Nothobranchius furzeri: one gene and its partner. The protein of the gene in region 1 purifies or fractionates together with the protein of each later gene. This does not show direct contact. Links are inferred from orthologs where the notes say so. Each region holds a gene or a part of one and is shown on either strand. Other genes may lie near its edges.

Region 1 (3,500 bases):
TTTGTTTGAGGGAGCAAGGACCCAAAATGTATGTGGGACGCGTGTGTCCTCCCAAACACTGAAAACCAGAATGTGTGTGTGTGTGTGTGTGTGTGTACGTGAGCAACTTTCACTTTAACTTCCAAAGCACGTTCAATCACAGTAAAACTTAACCAAAACACTTCAAAACCTTAAACCCGCTTCACAAAGCTCAAGGAAAAACCAAAGATCAATCACAAATGAAACATCTAATAGTTTGTCAGCCTGGCCACAGCATATAACTTAAGATATTAAACAATGACAAAAACAAAACGGCTTACTCTTAAGATGATCCGATGGCATGTTTTGGTACGGAGGAGAGAAAGAGCCGTCTGTTAATTTGAAGCAATCGCGCAGTTTGATCGCTTGTTCGGACTATTAAGAGTAACGGGAGAAAAAGGAGATAGAGGAGAAAAAGGGAAAAAAAACTCTTCTCTGAGCAAACCAAGGCGTCCCTCGTCGTTCGCGCTGAGCAGATTTGATGGTTTTCCGCTGCTTTTCAGCAGCTCGGCCTCTTGACGTGCGTCCGGAGCCGTAGCAGAAGTCTCTTCACATCGGCTGAGACTGGGACAAAAGAGGGTTAAGTTTCGTTCTATGCTGGGCTTTAGATTCTCCAACCAGCGGGCGGGACGTGTGGAGGTTCCGGGGTTCGGCGTCGCTTTGGTGACGTCATCAAGTTGCTTCCGGCTCAGGGAATCATGGGAAATGAAGTTGTTGCTGGCACTGATTTTAATATGCCTTTTTATGTACGCTTCAGGGCGGTTTTGGCACAGACTTTTGGAGAAATTACTGCATAGTAATTTTCTCATGAAGGCAGACCCTCAACAGTTGTGTAACGTTGTGAGTCCTGTAGACCCTGTGACTGTGGGTCAGTGTGCCGACTCGGCCATCCAAGCCTCATTTGATCCGAGCTCTTATTCCTGCTTCACCAAGGGGATGACGCAGTCCACAACTCCTGAACAAGAGGAGACGCTGCGATACTTGGTTGAAAAAGTCCATCCATCCATTTTCATCTGCTTATCCGGAGTCGGGTCGCGGGGGCAGCAGCCTAAGACGAGAGGCCCAGACTTCCCTCTCCCCAGCCTTAGGATTCCCCCGGAAGAGCTGGTCCAAATGGCTGGGGAGAGGGAAGTCTGGGCCTCCCTGCTTAGGCTGCTGCCCCCGCGACCCGACCCAAAGGTGGGTCTTCAGCCTGTTCCAGAGACGAGGGCCATAAAACTCAAAAGACGCCTCGTTGTGGGTATGTGTCCTAACCTTTGGGTTAACAAGGAGGCGACTGCCAGAGGAGCAAAGAGGCCGAGAGGATTCATACAGTAAAAGCAGTTCTGCAAGATAAGAAGGTCCAAGCCCATTAAGACACTTAAAAACCAGGGCCCTCATTTATCAAGCTTGCTTACGCACAAAACGCACAAAAAGTTTTCCACGCAAACTTTGGGATTCATGAAAGAAAACTTAGCGGAAAAATGTGCGCAACTTTAAGTTGACTAAGGACCTGGCTTACGCACATGTTGGACATGGAGAGCACCTGCAGCGCTGCTGCTGAGGAGGATACCATTATGAATTCCAGCAGCATTATCACTTGTACCGCTTCGTGTTCACACAGAACAAGACCCCCCCTACTCCACGCACGCTTGCCGGTCTGAGTACTGCTGAGATCCTAACGGCGAGCGGTGGGAGATCAGAGGTGCCACACGGTCTGGCGGTGCCTAAACATCTTTTTTTTTGCCTCCACCTTCAGATAGGATCATTTTTTATATCCACCACAGATCTCTCTAAGTGATGGATGGTAAGGCCCTGGTCCGATAGGTGAGTTAGTGTTAAAATCCGTGCTGAGTTTGTAGGAGTTTATAGTTCAACTGCATCATCCACAATGCTTCCACCATCGTCACTCACCAAATGCCTTGCAGACATTAGGACCTGGCTTTCTTCCAACTTCCTGAAGCTGAACTCTGACAAAACTGAAGCGGGGAGGCCACATAGCTCTCAGTGGCAACAGAAACACTACTGTCACATCTAGATCAGGGTAAGAGCCTTTGTATTATTCCAGACAGCACCCTGACCTACCTTTCCCATATCAGTTCTGTCACTCCATCAGCTTACTACCACTTGCGAAATATTAACCGTCTACGTCCATCTCTGTCTAATAACTCAATTCAATTCAAAGATACTTTATTAATCCCAGAGGGAAATTAGAGTTTCAGTACACACAATTCAGAGATCAGACATACATGGGCAAGACGTGGGTGGGTGGGTCGGTCGCCCTCTCCCTCCCTCACACACACACACACACACACACACACACAAACACACACACAAACACACACACACACACACACACACACACACACAAACACACACACACACACACACACACACACACACACACACACACACACACACACACACACACACACACACACACACACACACACACACACACACACACACACACACACAAACACACACACAAACACACACACACACACACACACACACACACAAAGTAGTCCAGCTCACCATCTCAAACAGGAGACGTACAAGTTTTTCCGATTCTCCTCGGTACTTGGAGGTAAGAGTGGAGGACGAGACATTGAAAAACGTGGTTCTGCATTCAGTAGCAACTGCTTTTGCCAAAAGGGTTTTTCCGGTCCCTGGAGGTCCCACCATCAGCACCCCCTGAGGAAGAGAAGAACACCCATGTAAACTCAGATCTGATAAAACACTTCTGCAGCGAAAGGCAGCACCTTCCAAGGTCTCCGGATGCCTTTGAAGAAAGCTGGCATCCACATGGGCAGCACGACAGCTTCCTTCAGGAGCTTTTTAGCATCTTCCAAGTCTGCAATGTCATCCCTAAAAAGAGTGGAAATCACTTAGATCTGACAGCTATGACACGAGGAGTAACCATAGTCAACGTGAACCAGCAGCTGGCGCCTCCTACGACAGCAGTTGCCCTCTAGAGCAGCTGGTGCCGCCTATGACAGCAGTTGCCCTCTAGAGTAGCAGGCGCCCTCTACGACAGCAGTTGCCCTCTAGAGCAGCTGGAGCCCTCTACGACAGCAGATGCCCTCTAGAGCAGCTGGCACCCCCTATGACCGCAGATACCCTCTAGAGCAGCTGGCGCCCTCTATGACAGCAGATGCCAGATGCCCTCTAGAGCAGCTGGCACCCCCTATGACCGCAGATACCCTCTAGAGCAGCTGGCGCCCTCTACAACAGCAGATGCCCTCTAGAGCAGCTGGCGCCCTCTACGACAGCAGATGCCCTCTAGAGCAGCTGGCGCCCCCTACGACCGCAGATGCTCTCTAGAGCAGCTGGCGCCCCCTATGACCGCAGATACCCTCTAGAGCAGCTGGAGCCCTCTACGACAGCAGATGCCCTCTAGAGCAGCTGGCGCCCCCTACGACAGCAGATGCCCTCTAGAGCAGCTGGCGCCCCCTACGACCGCAGATGCCCTCTAGAGCAGCTGGCGCCCCCTACGACCG
Region 2 (3,986 bases), about 15 Mb from region 1:
GATATCCTGATTATATGACATTCAGTCACAAATGCAACCTTAAAGCCCACTCAACGCCATTGCAAGCCTGCTGGAGAGCCCTCGCACGGACGGACGGAGTCAAACACACTTTTCTAAACACCCGTTGAACAAGACAGAGAACGTAAGCTTGTGATTGGTCAGGATGCTGCTTTTGACAACAGCACAGCCAATGGGCCCAAAACACAAAGAGAGCTGAAGATATCTAGCAGCACACAGAGCAACTTGAAGATTACTTCACGGAAAAACTCTTAAATATGAACGTTTTATTGAGGAGTATACGCAGAAAGCGTTTTACTGGTGGACCGAAATTAGGGCTGAACGATCTATCGTTTTTGGACCGAAATTGCGATTTCAAACAGCACGATCACGTGAGCGTCAAAACTGCGGTTTTTGACTGATCCAGGATCAGTAGTGCAACTATTTTTTACATCCGGGGTTTTCCCCGTGTTATGGCGGCAGCAAAAGCCAGCGCGGGGGAGGGGGGTGGGGTGTACCGTCCAGAGCTGAGCCCAACTCCACAGCTGCCAAAGCTGCATGTTCAGGTTGATTTCCCGGTTTTATGTTCCCACACACAGCGCTGCTAGAGCCGATAATAATGGCACCGTAGGTGAGCCCGGGACAGAGAGAGAGAGAATGTAGTTGAGTAGGGGAGAGAGAGACTCCTCCCACATCAGCAGGTTCAGGCTGGTTTCTAAAGCTTGGTTTACGCTTCATCAGCGCGAGTGCGGAGTTGCGCACTTTAGTTGACTTAAAAGCTCAACTTCTCTTTTAAAAACGGTTTGAATGTTTCTGACGGCACAAGCTAGCTCAAACAAGCTAAGGTGTCAGAATAATATACTTACTCTTCATGTTTACTGGAGAGAACCACTTTGACGTGAGGCATGAGGTCAACACAGCAGCCAAGTGACAAACACGGCGTTTCAGTTTGAAGGCTGATGAAACAGAAAAAAAACCACATGCGATGGAAAGCAGACACGTGAATCGCCCACCTTTCAGAGGCATAGTAAATATTAAACTTAAAACTTTAGAATGAACAACCATGAGGTAAAAGCCAAATGTGACTTACTTGTTTGTTAAGACCGGTAAGCAGTCGAGCAGAACGCTTGTGTCTTGTATTCTGGGAAGCAAAAACAATAACATGTAACTGACAAATAAACACTAAACACCAAATGTGAGTGGTGCTTTTACCTTATTAGATAGGACACCAATTCACTGGCATTTCTTCGCCATAATGTTAGTGCAACTTTAAGTCGAAGATCTCTTCCAAAAAGGATGCGAGACATAGCTTCGTGTTCCTTCGATAACTACTCAGAAACAAACAACCAACGACGGCTCAAACAGGGTGGTGTTTTTCCAACTAACACTCAGCTTCAGATCAGTTTCTCACCTCAGTGAAGTCGCTGTACTTAGAGCTGGCCCCTGCCATCTTGGAAGCCTCTGCAGAGTTCACCAGCAGCCCGTGGTTATCATAGCAGCGAATGCTCCGCACATCATCGGAGCACGACAGCTCATTTTCTTTGTTGGCCATGCCGGGGTCACGGGGACGGCCTACATCTGACAACCTGCAGTGAAGCTTTGTGCCCACCTCCACTGACGAACAACTCTTCCTCTTGCAAAACGACAACCGCTTCACTTTGCCTGGACTCTGCTTTCTGAAATGCACCGGAAATCTGCCAAAAGAGACATGGAGATTAGCGCAGGCCGTGAAAGTTTAAAAACAACGTTTAGGGTCACAGACGTTGTGATATATGGTCATGGAAAGATGTCTGAAGGTTCCCGTGGCTGGAAGGGGTGATCTGTGGCAGAATGAGTGAATGATCACATTTGGATGAACCCCACATGTGGATTAGAGACTCACCTGTTCTTATCTAATTCTTCCTTATTTTTAATTTCCACCTAAAACAAAAGGATAGGGGATGAGGCCACTCCCACAGTCTCTACTACAACACCACTGAACGGCACTTCACTGTCACCAGGACTAAACCAAACAAGTACTGCATTTAATACAACAAAGCTGTTGGTTCTGTGGCTTCATACCTGCTTCATGATCTTTTCAGTAGAAACGTGCAGACAGGTTCGCTGAAAGCCATTGGATTTATGGTTGCTGACATTAAAGGCTTTCTGTCGGCAAACATGCTTACCAAATGCCATAATAAGGGACGCTGTTGGGACAGAAAATTAGGACAATCATTGATAATAAAACTGCTGTTTCCAACGCTAACTTAACATGTTGGCTAACTTTTAGCTAGCCTCCGAGCTACGGTGCAGAGTGATCCAGATCGATAAACAGACGCTTAACTTGGAATAAACTCTGAGGCATTGGCCGCTTTAAGCTCAATATACTGCAGCAAAAGTTAAAAGCTACTTTTTTCTTCGCTAAACATGAAACAATCAAGTTAGGAAAATGGAAACACTGCATTTCTCAGCTATAAAGCTGCTTCATGCGTCAACAATGACGGTATTTTTAGCTTCGACTAATAGCATTTAGCTTAATTATGAAGAAAACACCGAGACGTGGAAAGTAACTAGCTGGGCCGCGCTAAAAGGGTTAGCATTCCACCTCAGGCAATTTACAACTTCATGCTAGGTAATTAAGAAAAGCGTATATTTCTCCATTTACATGGTAGATTTAAATACCAACCGGTTCATTTTGTTAAATCCAACAGGTCCCCTCGGGTGTGTAAATCCGAAAGCAGAAAACCAGGTAAAACTGAAAGTTCACCTCCCGTCCGTGTTAGCAAGTCTGTTTTACCATTCAAATGAATACACCACCCGGTGAGGAGGGATTGTGGGATATATTTTGGCAAAGAAACGCCACAGTTTCTGTAGTTTTAGCGGCGACTGTCGGACGTTTACACAGCAGCAGTCACTAAAGAAGTCTCCACTCTGGCGCCATCTAGCGTGGAGTAGCCCATAATGCAGCTCGATTAAGAACAGGTAGGGTGTTGCATCTAAATATGTCCCCCGTCATAAACTTTTTTTTAAATGGACAAATATACAACTAATATGGTTTATACTTTCAGAAAAAAATTCTGCTTTAAAATGTACTAAAACAGACTCCTTTTTAATCCAAATAGGAGCAAAACAAGAAGAGTTCAATTTAAAAATGTAGAATTAAACAGGGAAAAAACAAAACACTGAAAACAAAACATAACACTACAAACGAGAGTTTTTTCAAGAAGACTGAATTCATTCATCTTATTATGCATTCCTAAATCTTGTCTTTTGTCTATAAACTTTACAGATGAGATAAAAGACCCCCTCAATTCCACCAGCACGTCTTCTAGTGAGGAAGAATGGTCCGGGGACTTTGGGTGACAAAGCTTCAGGGGTGGATGAGACCTGCCCGGAGTTCCTTAAGATTCTGGATGTCGTAGGGCTGTGTTGGCTGACGAGGCTCTGCAATATCGCGTGAACATGGGGGCAGTTTCACTAGATTAGCAGACTGGGGTGGTTAAAAAGGGGGACCGCAAGATGTGTTCCAACTACAGGGAGATCACACTCCTGGGCCTCCTTGGTAAAATCTATTTTGGGGTTCTGGAGAGGAGGGTACGGCGGATTGTCGAACCTCGGATTCAGGTGGAGCAGATCTTTTAGTTATCAGGCTCCTCTCCTGTGGAACCAGCTCCCAGCTTTAGTCTGTGAGGCAGACACCTTGTCTACTTTTAAGACTAGGCTTAAAACATTTTTATTTGATAGGGCCTATGGGTAAAATCTGATGTTAACCTAGATCTGGACAAGTGGGGGAGTAGAGGGAGGTGTAGTGTACAGTCGGTAAAGACGGCTCTCCCTTGCCCTGCCTCCAACATGCCTCCATCTAAAAGGCTAGGTTATCCAGAGTTATCTCTGTAGTTATGCTGCTATAGGCTTAGACTGCTGGAGGACACACTGACCACTTTCCACACTCGACTACTTTCTTCTACAATCTGCTCTTTAACTGTATTATTTCCTGCTATTTCAGCTTT

What was found. Proteins that work in one complex are often made in the same cells at the same time.
Region 2: the proteins of katna1 (region 1) and katnbl1 purify together in Homo sapiens (affinity purification with mass spectrometry; 3 studies listed by BioGRID and IntAct, counting the BioPlex papers as one, with this or other methods). This does not show direct contact. The link is inferred for Nothobranchius furzeri from reciprocal best matches to the Homo sapiens genes KATNA1 and KATNBL1.

What each region holds. Positions count from the first base shown.
Region 1 is NC_091742.1:28,014,765-28,018,264, forward strand, and holds part of katna1 (katanin p60 ATPase-containing subunit A1), read right to left. Parts: intron 2,869-3,500; coding exon 2,763-2,868; intron 2,695-2,762; coding exon 2,536-2,694; intron 1-2,535. UniProt on the Homo sapiens protein: Catalytic subunit of a complex which severs microtubules in an ATP-dependent manner. Microtubule severing may promote rapid reorganization of cellular microtubule arrays and the release of microtubules from the centrosome following nucleation.
Region 2 is NC_091742.1:12,533,161-12,537,146, forward strand, and holds the start of katnbl1 (KATNB1-like protein 1), read right to left. Parts: upstream 2,801-3,986; 5' UTR 2,663-2,800; intron 2,184-2,662; 5' UTR 2,173-2,183; coding exon 2,059-2,172; intron 1,918-2,058; coding exon 1,880-1,917; intron 1,692-1,879; coding exon 1,409-1,691; intron 1,326-1,408; coding exon 1,210-1,325; intron 1,139-1,209; coding exon 1,088-1,138; intron 954-1,087; coding exon 864-953; intron 1-863.